Xenopus tropicalis: one gene and its partners. The protein of the gene in region 1 interacts with the protein of each later gene in a biochemical or structural test. Links are inferred from orthologs where the notes say so. Each region holds a gene or a part of one and is shown on either strand. Other genes may lie near its edges. The genes, in order: gsk3b, lrp6 and eif2b5.

What was found.
Region 2: of the proteins of gsk3b (region 1) and lrp6, one has a biochemical effect on the other in vitro, tested with the Homo sapiens proteins (2 studies listed by BioGRID, with this or other methods). The link is inferred for Xenopus tropicalis from reciprocal best matches to the Homo sapiens genes GSK3B and LRP6.
Region 3: of the proteins of gsk3b (region 1) and eif2b5, one has a biochemical effect on the other in vitro, tested with the Homo sapiens proteins (2 studies listed by BioGRID and IntAct). The link is inferred for Xenopus tropicalis from reciprocal best matches to the Homo sapiens genes GSK3B and EIF2B5.

Annotation. Positions count from the first base shown.
Region 1 is NC_030678.2:1,861,791-1,865,544, reverse strand, and holds the start of gsk3b (glycogen synthase kinase-3 beta), read right to left. Parts: upstream 2,709-3,754; 5' UTR 550-2,708; coding exon 462-549; intron 1-461. UniProt on the Homo sapiens protein: Constitutively active protein kinase that acts as a negative regulator in the hormonal control of glucose homeostasis, Wnt signaling and regulation of transcription factors and microtubules, by phosphorylating and inactivating glycogen synthase (GYS1 or GYS2), EIF2B, CTNNB1/beta-catenin, APC, AXIN1, DPYSL2/CRMP2, JUN, NFATC1/NFATC, MAPT/TAU and MACF1.
Region 2 is NC_030679.2:8,234,185-8,237,838, reverse strand, and holds part of lrp6 (low-density lipoprotein receptor-related protein 6), read left to right. Parts: intron 1-1,087; coding exon 1,088-1,484; intron 1,485-1,757; coding exon 1,758-1,929; intron 1,930-3,654. UniProt on the Homo sapiens protein: Component of the Wnt-Fzd-LRP5-LRP6 complex that triggers beta-catenin signaling through inducing aggregation of receptor-ligand complexes into ribosome-sized signalosomes.
Region 3 is NC_030681.2:100,214,368-100,218,021, reverse strand, and holds part of eif2b5 (translation initiation factor eIF-2B subunit epsilon), read left to right. Parts: intron 1-1,921; coding exon 1,922-2,067; intron 2,068-3,045; coding exon 3,046-3,184; intron 3,185-3,654. UniProt on the Homo sapiens protein: Acts as a component of the translation initiation factor 2B (eIF2B) complex, which catalyzes the exchange of GDP for GTP on eukaryotic initiation factor 2 (eIF2) gamma subunit.

The DNA of each region.
Region 1 (3,754 bases):
CCAATATTCTCGAATGTGACACTTTAGAACATTACAATTCCCGTGCAACACCCGTTGGAGCCCAACACTTTGCTGAAATAACAGTAAGTGAGTGCAATATCTCTCAATGCAGAGAGTTGTGGGTTCTGCAGACCATCCGGGGAGGAGACCTCTGCACAGACTCCCAGGGACGGGCGTCACGGCCAAACTCCTCGTTGGCGACTGAGTGACATCCCTAATCCCAGACTGGCATCTCGGTGGACCTCAGTAAAATCCAAAAATAACTCCTAATTGCGCGAGGCCCTTACGGTATTAGGGGTAATTCAGTGGGATCGGTTTACATGCAGGATGAGGGCGTGAGTGCAGCTTTATTGGGCACATTTCCCCTTATTGTAGCCGGGTTTCCTCTGCTTCACACTGGGGGGGGGGGGTTACGGGGAGTTACGGCACACACGGGCACGGTGCTACAAAGGGATACTCACGGCTGACTTTCATGCTGCCAAAAGATGACGGTTGCTGCACGGGTTTGCAGCTCTCTGCAAAGGAAGTGGTTCTCGGCCTCCCCGACATGATTCTCCGGCTCCTCCCTCACCTCCTTCTCTCTTGTAGATCAAAGCCAGATGGAGGGCAAGACCATCAAGGCCCCGGCGCACAATAAGCTTCTCAGCCCTTACCGAAAGCAGTGGGGCCTACCCGGCGCGGTGGTCCCTCTCCCCCACCTCTGTATTGTCACCTTTCCCCTCCGACGATCACTATTTATAGACCATCCCTCGGGCTCCAGTCGGGCACACAATATGGCAGCCGGGGTGTCAGTAGGCCATGTAGCCGGGAATCAGTGGTTTAGTCACAGGCGCAAGGGCCACGGGATTGTCACTGCCGGGGCCACAGGTGACGCTCGGGGGGTAACAGGGCTACTGCTCCTTAGCGATGGATTGAAGGGTTGGAGCCACACAGAGCAGGTTCCGGAGGCTGTTGCCCAAAGCTTGTGCCTGCAGGGGCAATACTTCAAGTATTAAGGGCAGTTTCAAGTGGTACTGCAACAATACTGCACCACAGGCAGGGCAACAGGGCAGGTTCTGCTCTAGTGGGAAAGCGGCAGAACTAGGAGGATCTGGTCATACGTCGTCTGGGGGGGGAATAAGGACAGTTGCCCCCAGGAATCTGTGATTTTGCCCCACTTGTGGCACAATATTGCCCTTGACAGGGTCTCAGGCAAAGGTTTCAGTCGCAAAGCCGAGATATTGATCCGATGGGGGTGGGAAGCTCACTGCTCCAATGGGGGTATTAGCAGGGGCAACTGGATGTCTCACTGCTCCAATGGGGGTATTAGCAGGGGCAGCTGGATGTCTCACTGCTCCAATGGGGGTATTAGCAGGGGCAGCTGGATGTCTCACTGCTCCAATGGGGGTATTAGCAGGGGCAACTGGATGTCTCACTGCTCCAATGGGGGTATTAGCAGGGGCAACTGGATGTCTCACTGCTCCAATGGGGGTATTAGCAGGGGCAGCTGGATGTCTCACTGCTCCAATGGGGGTATTAGCAGGGGCAACTGGATGTCTCACTGCTCCAATGGGGGTATTAGCAGGGGCAACTGGATGTCTCACTGCTCCAATGGGGGTATTAGCAGGGGCAACTGGATGTCTCACTGCTCCAATGGGGGTATTAGCAGGGGCAACTGGATGTCTCACTGCTCCAATGGGGGTATTAGCAGGGGCAGCTGGATGTCTCACTGCTCCAATGGGGGTATTAGCAGGGGCAGCTGGGTGTCTCACTGCTCCAATGGGGGTATTAACAGGGGCAGCTGGGTGTCTCACTGCTCCAATGGGGGTATTAGCAGGGGCAGCTGGATGTCTCACTGCTCCAATGGGGGTATTAGCAGGGGCAGCTGGATGTCTCACTGCTCCAATGGGGGTATTAACAGGGGCAACTGGATGTCTCACTGCTCCAATGGGGGTATTAGCAGGGGCAGCTGGATGTCTCAGATGTTGCCCTAGGGGTAATTATGGAAGTGCGTGGGTAAAGGGCAAATCTCGCCCCAGGGCCGGGTAGTAGCCCAGATGTTGCCCCAGTAGGGGTATTAGCCGGGGCAGGTGGGGTTAATGGCGGGCAGGGAGCGGGGCTTGGGCACAGGCTGAGGCCATGGCGCCTCTCACACAGGGCGGGCAGAGAGAGGGCGGAGAGAGCGGAGTTGTGGGCCCAGGGAGCCGGGCACTTGCTGTCAGGGCCGGGGGTGGGTTCCCGGGCGGAAGCTGCGGCGCAGGATAAAATCACCGGGCAGAGAAATTCGGTTCCCGTTGGACCTCGGGTCGGTACTGTCCCAGAATCCCTTGCGCAGGGCGTTAAAATAAGGTAATCTCCACCGTATCCGTGTCCGGTAACCGCTTCCAGCTCGGTCTCTTTCCCTTTGTCACTCTCCGTCCGACTGACCGCATTTGCCAGTCGGTCTTTTTCCCCGCAATCCTCTCCTCCCTCTCTGCTCAATGACGTAGCGCACCACGCGTCCAACGAGCCGCACGCTAGCGAAACTGAGTAACTCTGCTCTGAGAATACGGGCAAGGGAGGGGGCGGGCCTTCGCCAGTTCCTTCATGACGTTCTGATCTCGGTTTGCTCCGCCCGCATCACTCACCAGCCCATGGAAACCAATCAACTACACGGATTGGCGAGAGGGGGGGCAGAGAAGACGACGTAGCTAACCAATTATCGAGCTTCTCAGTCACTACTCAGCGCTTTCCCCCCCCTCCTTTCTCAATGGCTGGCGTTTTATAGATACTGCTTTATGATTGGCCATCATGTTACCCAGCTTCTCCAATGACACGTTTATTTTTGCAATCTCCGCCTCCTGCCGTTGTCTGCTTGACTCTGATTGGCTAAAGAAATTGTCCGTCTTCTTAACCAGGCCTAGCCTAGAGATAAAAGGAGAGGCGAGGCAGAAATAAGAGACGACCGTCTATTGGTAGGCAGGAGCAGCTGTTGCTGCAAGGAACGGGCGGAAGTAGGCGTTGTCAATCCTTGTTAAGACACCGGAAGTGTGACCTTTTAACTCTTATTATTCATGTATTATATCAGCTGGTTGAAATGTGGGTTTCTGTGGTAACTGGGATATTATGGGGCACGGATATGAGGTCTGAGCCCCGGCCCCGTGTTCAGTCAGAGTGGGGGGGTATTTGTGTGTGTGGGCACATCCTTCCTGTCATATATTCCTATTTGTTCCTTGTTACAGATCCCTAACATTTGCCAGATCTCTGAAATCCCATGGTGGATCATATGGGAGGGGCTGCTGTGTGGTTTTACCCCCCCATAGTGGAGCCGGTGTGCTTGGGTACTTGTGCCATAAGGAGGAAAATGGCTGAAACCAAAGGGGGGCAGGAGGGGTCCTTTACTTGCACCCAGGCCCCAGAGAAGGTTGTGAGGAGAGACTGTTGGCGAGGTCACCAAGCGAGCAGATCTTCTCCCGATATTGCCCACCCTTAGGGGAATTTAGGCTCATTTGGTTGCAGGGGCGGGCCAAGCCGACTGAGCGCCCTAGGCAACCCGGTCGGCCAACTCCGCCCACCTCCCCGCCCCCCCCCCCGAACGGCGCATGCGCACCAAAGCACAGGAGGAGGTGCAGGGGGGGGCGATATGATTAGATTGGTCATTGCCTCTGCCGCTAATGACAAGCGGTGGAGGCAATGACAAAGTAGCACTAGGGGTAGGCAGGCCCCTCAATCGTTGCGCCCTACGCAGCTGCCTCTTCTGCCCACCCCTAGTTCCAGCCCTGTTTGGTCATTTGGC
Region 2 (3,654 bases), on another chromosome or scaffold:
AACCCAATAGGGCTGTTCTGCCCCCAATAAGGGGTAATTATATCTTAGTTGGGATCAAGTACAGGTACTGTTTTATTATTACAGAGAAAAGGGAATCATTTAACCATTAAATAAACCCAATAGGGCTGTTCTGCCCCAATAAGGGGTAATTATATCTTAGTTGGGATCAAGTACAGGTACTGTTTTATTAATACAGGTATAGGACCCGTTATCCAGAATGCTCGGGACCAAGGGTATTCCGGATAAGGGGTCTTTCCGTAATTTGGATCTCCATACCTTAAGTCTACTAAAGAATCAATAAAACATTAATTAAACCCTATGGGATTGTTTTGCATCCAATAAGCATTATTTATATCTTAGTTGGGATCAATTACATGGAACTGTTTTATTATTACAGAGAAAAGGGAATCATTTAACCATTAAATAAACCCAATAGGGCTGTTCTGCCCCAATAAGGGGTAATTATATCTTAGTTGGGATCAAGTACAGGTACTGTTTTATTATTACAGAGAAAAAGGAAATCAGTTTTAAAATTCTGAATAATTTGATTAAAATGGAGTCTATGGGAGAGAGGCATTCCGTAATTCGGAGCTTTCTGGATAACGGGTTTCCGGATAAGGGATCCCATACCTGTACAGAGAAAAAGGAAATCAATTTTAAAAATCTGAATTATTTGATTAAAATGGAGACAGGCTTTCCGTAATTCGGAGCTTTCTTGATATCGAGTTTCCGGATAAGGGATTCCATACCTGTACAAAGCTGAAGGTCTTCAATTTTTATTTGTTTATAGTTTTTTCAAATGGAGTTCACTGACCCCGGCAGCGAGGCTACATTTTTTTTTTATTGCTGTTGTTACTTTTTATTACTTATATTTCTATTTAGACCCTCCTCTAATGATATTGCTATCTCTATTTGAAACCGCTGCCTGGTTGCTAGATTAAATTGACCCTAGCAACTAGTTAGCTGCTGCAATTACAAACTAACAGAAAGCTAAACTGCCAAAATAAAAATGAAGAATTGAATGAATGAATTTTAAAATAACATGTATCTTGAGTTGAACTTTTGCATCTCTTTGCCATTTGTGTAGGTGCTACAGAGTTGCTGCTGCTTGTCCGCAGGACGGACCTCAGGCGAATATCGCTGGACACTCCGGACTTCACAGATATTGTTTTGCCACTGGACGATATTCGCCACGCTATTGCCATTGACTATGATCCTGTAGAAGGGTACATTTACTGGACGGACGACGAGGTGAGAGCCATACGCCGCACACAGATCGATGGCTCTTCCAGTCAATACATTGTCACCTCCCAAGTGGCCCATCCGGATGGTATCGCTGTTGATTGGGTGGCTCGGAACTTGTACTGGACCGACACGGGGACGGACCGCATTGAAGTCACTCGGCTGAATGGGACTATGCGCAAGATCCTCATATCCGAGGACCTGGATGAACCACGAGCCATAGTGCTAGATCCTATGAATGGGTACGATTTATTTATTTTTTTCCCCCTTTACCAACCAAGGAATACCCCATAGCTTATAGCACCCATACAACATCAGTGGTTTTTGTATACCGAAAGCCCTATAGGTACTAGAACAGTGTTGCATGTATGTTTTATTATTACAGAGAAAAAGGATATATTTTTTTTTAAAATGGAGTCTATGGGACATAGATTTGGATCTTTCTGGATAACTGGTTTCCAGAGAAAGGGTTCCAAACCTGAATAATAAAATAATATACTTTTTTTTTTATATAGGTACATGTATTGGACTGATTGGGGAGAAATCCCTAAAATTGAGCGTGCTGCAATGGATGGCTCAGACAGGATTATATTAGTGAACACCTCACTTGGTTGGCCCAATGGTCTGGCACTGGATTATGCAGAAGGGAAAATCTACTGGGGAGATGCCAAGACCGATAAGATAGAGGTGGGTCCAAGTTTCGTACAAAATGACGAGACTTTGTTATATAAAATATTTTACTTCTTAAAGGGTTAGTGCTTGAATTAAGCTGGCCATACACACCGATAGTATCGTACAAAACCGTGTTTCGTACATTATTCAGTGTGTGTTTGACGGATTGACGAGACAACCAATAATGCAAGGATTTTGGATATTGGTCGTCTTGTCGATCGGACGGGATAAAAGATTTTGATCGTGCACCGTTGAAGGCACCTGAGCAGAATTTGCGTTTAGGGCTGAATTGTCAGGTGGAGGTATAATCCATATTGTTTCTACCTCTGTATCTGACAATTCAGCCCTGATCTTTCCTGCCACCATTGGTCACAGGAAAGATGGTTCGTTCCCTCCATTGACATTCAGGTATGTATGGCCACCTTTATTTAGATATTTGTTCAGCAGCTCACCAGTTTGAAATTTCTGCAGCTGTCTGGTTGCTAGGCTGTCGTTTACCCTAGCAACCAGACACTACTGTAATTGAGAGACTGGAAGACGAACACAGAGGGGCTGAAAAGAACTTTATAAAATTGTAGAATTACAGTGCTTTTCTTTATCTCTTTGCTTTTGGGGTCAGATACCTGTACGAACACTGGAAAGAGGCAGTACATCAGCAAGCCTTTCTTAGGGTTTTACAATACTACTGGGGGTTCTGTTTTGATACTACAGGTATAGGACCCGTTATCCAGAATGCTTGGGACCATGGGTGTTCCTGATAAGGGGTCTTTCCTTAATTTGGATCTCCATACCTTGTCTACTAAAAAATCAATAAAACATTAATTAAACCCAATAGGACTATTCTGCCCAAATAAGGGGTAATTATATCTTAGTTGGGATCAAGTACAGGTACTGTTTTATTATTACAGAGAAAAGGGAATCATTTAACCATTAAATAAACCCAATAGGGCTGTTCTGCCCCCAATAAGAGGTAATTATATCTTAGTTGGGATCAAGTACAGGTACTGTTTTATTATTACAGAGAAAAGGGAATCATTTAACCATTAAATAAACCCAATAGGGCTGTTCTGCCCCCAATAAGGGGTAATTATATCTTAGTTGGGATCAAGTACAGGTACTGTTTTATTATTACAGAGAAAAGGGAATAATTTAACCATTAAATAAACCCAATAGGGCTGTTCTGCCCCCAATAAGGGATAATTATATCTTAGTTGGGATCAAGTACAGGTACTGTTTTATTATTACAGAGAAAAGGGAATCATTTAACCATTAAATAAACCCAATAGGGCTGTTCTGCCCCCAATAAGGGGTAATTATATCTTAGTTGGGATCAAGTACAGGTACTGTTTTATTATTACAGAGAAAAGGGAATCATTTAACCATTAAATAAACCCAATAGGGCTGTTCTGCCCCAATAAGGGGTAATTATATCTTAGTTGGGATCAAGTACAGGTACTGTTTTGTTATTACAGAGAAAAGGGAATCATTTAACCATTAAATAAACCCAATAGGGCTGTTCTGCCCCAATAAGGGGTAATTATATCTTAGTTGGAATCAAGTACAGGTACTGTTTTATTATTACAGAGAAAAGGGAAATCAGTTTAAAAAATCTGAATTATTTGATTATAATGGAGTCTATGGGAGACGGACTTTCCGTAATTCGGAGCTTTTCTGGATAACAGGTTTCCGAATAAGGGATCCCATACCTGTATTAGCATTAACCCGAATGGCTCTTTGTTT
Region 3 (3,654 bases), on another chromosome or scaffold:
AAGATCCAGTGAGGACGAAAAAACTGAATAAATTCAAGCTGGTACCCTGAAACACAACTATAATAAATCTGAATGCAGAAAAAGACCCAGATTATTTCCCAAACTTCTAATATAAAAAACCCTACATTTAATAAAGCCCAATACAGTATAAGTACTTCTAATAAATGATATGTCCCCCTAAAATTATACATACTGTTAAGTAGAATTCTAGTTCTACAATGCATTTTTTTCTTTACATAAGCTTTGTGGTACAGGGACTGGTTATAACTTACACCTAGAAGGCAGAACACTATGGTACAAAGAAACTCATTCTCTACAGCTTTCTTCAATTTTGCATACTTTGGGTTATAATGGTTTTTACTATCTGTTGGTGAAATCTTTTTGTGATGAAACCAGTGCAGGTGTTGTATCCCTTATTAGGGGAACCTGTTCCACCAGCTCCAAATTACAGGAAGGACATTTTCTCATAGTCTATTTTAAGCAAATAATACAAATTTTAAAAATGATTTCCCTTTTCTCTATAAAAAAATAAAACAGTGCTTGTACTTGATCTTAGCTATGCTGTTTTTTAAAATGTAAGCAGTGGCAAAAGATGCATAAAGTCTAGACTCCTCTTGAAAAAATTAAATTGACCCGTAATAAGGGAAAAACTACGTAAGAACTAAAATTGTTGTATTCTATACAGCTTATCTGTTATTTACTATGTAAACGCAAGCATTTTGCCATATTTAACTTGAATGGTTGCTCCCCATGACTTCATATTGACTTATTTATATAATCTGAAGCAAACACAGTTTTTACCAGTGCAGAGCAATGGTGCATTATATTTAAATGAATATTAAACTATTTAATTCTTTAATCTTTCCTACCTTCTATTCCCCTTATCAGCATTACAGTACAGCAGGGGTCCCCCAACCTTTTTAGCACCGCGGCCCGGCGGTTGGGGACCCCTGCAGTACAGGTATGGGATCCCTTATCCAGAAACCTGTTATCCATAAAGTTCCGAATTATGGGAAGGCCATCTCCCATAGACTTCATGTTAATCAAATAATTCACGTTTTAAAATATGATTGCCTTTTTCTCTGTAATAATAAAACAGTACTTGCACTTAATCTTAAGTAAGCTAGTATTAATCCTTATTTGAGGCAAAACAATCCTGCTGGGTTTATTTAATTTTTAAATTATTTTTTATTTTTTTTTAGCAGACTTAAAGTATGGAACTCCAAATTTCAGAATGACCCTTTATCTGGAAAACCCCAGGTCCCAAGTATTCTGGGTAATAGATCTCATACCTGCACCTCTAGTCACTCGCGACAAATCTCCCTTGTTGCGGGCGACTAATCTCCCCGATATGACATTGAGGCAGCTTCAGCGATTTCCGCAAATCGCGTTTACATTTACATTTTCGCCGGTGGGATGGGAATTCGGAGAGATTAGTCGCCCGCGACAAATCTCCCTTCTTGCGGGCGACTAATCTCCCCTATATGACATCCCACTGGCGAAAATGTAAATCGGCGGTGGAATGGCATACACGGCGAACCTCTCGAGGCAACTTCCGCAAATCGTGTCGCTGCGTATGCCTTCCCACCGGGGATTTACATTTTCACCGGTGGGATGGCAATTCGGGGAGATTTGACGCGGGCGACTAATCTCCCCGTGTGCCAGAGCCCTTAGGGGTGAAGACACACGGAGCTACTAGTAGCAGCTCCTTTTTTACAGCTACTAAACTCCAGAAGATACCCTGCCATATACAGTACTGAGACTTGCCTCTGTTAAAACGCACAAAGAGACAATTATCGACAAGTACTTAAACAATTATAATACACCATAAACTAAAATGTTATTATTTATGTTATTATATATGTTATTTTTTTTTCTTCATTTTTTTTAATTAATTAAAAAATTTTTTTTTTTTTTGAAGGAGACAGAGTAGTTCTAGAGAATGTACATGTCTGGGATAGAGTTCACATTGAAGATGATGTTACTATCAAAAATTCCATAATTTGTAATGATGTTGTTGTGAAGAAAAGGGTGCAGATAAATCCTTACTGCGTGTTGACGTCAAAGGTAATAAAGACTGATTGATAAGAAGAGGTTGGCCCTGTATGTGTCCAAAACCACAGCCTTCCTACCCCCTGTCCAAAATATATTGGGTAGGTTTAAAAATCCTGAATTGCGTAGTGGGAGGTCCACATAGGCCTTTTTGTTGCATATTCCCCAGACAGAACTACTAAGGGCTCTGTTACAAAATGACCATTGGTCTGGGCCAGATGATCAGATTAGCCGCATCTGGCCCACTGCCTGAGTGACCAGATATTTCAAGGATCCACTTAGTGTTTTCATGACCTGGCAAAATAAGTTAGAGCTGCCTGGTTAATTTAAAAGTAAATCAGTTTAAGCATCAGATGATTCTTTTAGTTACATTTGTTAGCATAAAATTGCATTAGTCTTTGCTTGTGGTTCTATTCTTTTAAAGCCTTAGAAAATATTTCTCTACACGCAAAACCAATGAGAAAGTAATTGCACTTAAAGGGGACCTGTCACCATAAGAAATAACTCCAACTTATTTTCTATATTGTTAGTTGAGCAAAATAAACTTTACTTACTCTATATAAATAATATAAATCGTGTTTCTTTCTGTCTTGGAATTACTCATTCAAAGCAAGCAGGCAGCCACCATTTTGTGGACACTGTTATGAAGGCAAGCTGTGTATCATGCCAAAATCTTGTTTATGTGCCAGAAAGGGGGACCAGATGTCCATGGCCTTGCACTGGCTACACAATTAGATGATGAGCAGGGAGGGGAAAAGTGAGATGTGCAGTGACATCTAGGTAGTGCTGAACAGAAAGCTAAAGTTATTGTCTGCCCCACCTCTATGCCTAAGGCATAGAGGCGGGGCAAGCAATATATGATTGATAACTGGGATTTTTAAATGCCTTTATAATGGGTTTGGATGTGTTAATATAAAAATGAATTTGGATTTTATGTTTAATTTGAAAAGGGCTTTTATTATAGGATTTCCATTATTCTTTTCTCTCTCATAGGTAGTGATTGGTCCTGATATACAACTGCCTGAAAGTACAGTTATTTCTCTTCATCATCCTGAAGAGGATGAAAATGATGATGATGAGTTTAGTGATGATGCAGGAGCTGGAAAACAGGCAGAAAGAATGAAGGTCAAAGGTACTGTGACATCTCTCTGCTTAGTAGGCATCTCTACTGCTACAGATACCAATAGCTATTAAGTATGTGAGCAGAAAGTAGAGGGTCTTGGTGGGTGGGTAAGTTGCTGAGTGCTTATGTTATAAGCTTGAATGAAAAGGTGAGTTTTAAGTGACCTTTAAAAAGCCTGGAGGTTCTGAGAGTGTTTAATGGAAGAGATATATAAGTGTGGCAGCAGTGTTCATAAAGGATTGGAGTGGGGTTAGTCTCTTGTGTGAGGAAAGTGGATTGTGTATAATGTTCCTAAGGTGAAAGTGATATGATGTAGGGTTCATTTGAATGTGGGGAATAAATAAGATGTACTGGGGTTGTATTGTTGTTTTCCATACTGACTGTGGATATCAGGCAGAAAAGCAGAGTTGGAAGGGAAGTAGACCAGTTCTGTTTTGTCAGTGTTGATTTTTAGGCAACAAGAGGACATGAATGCAGAA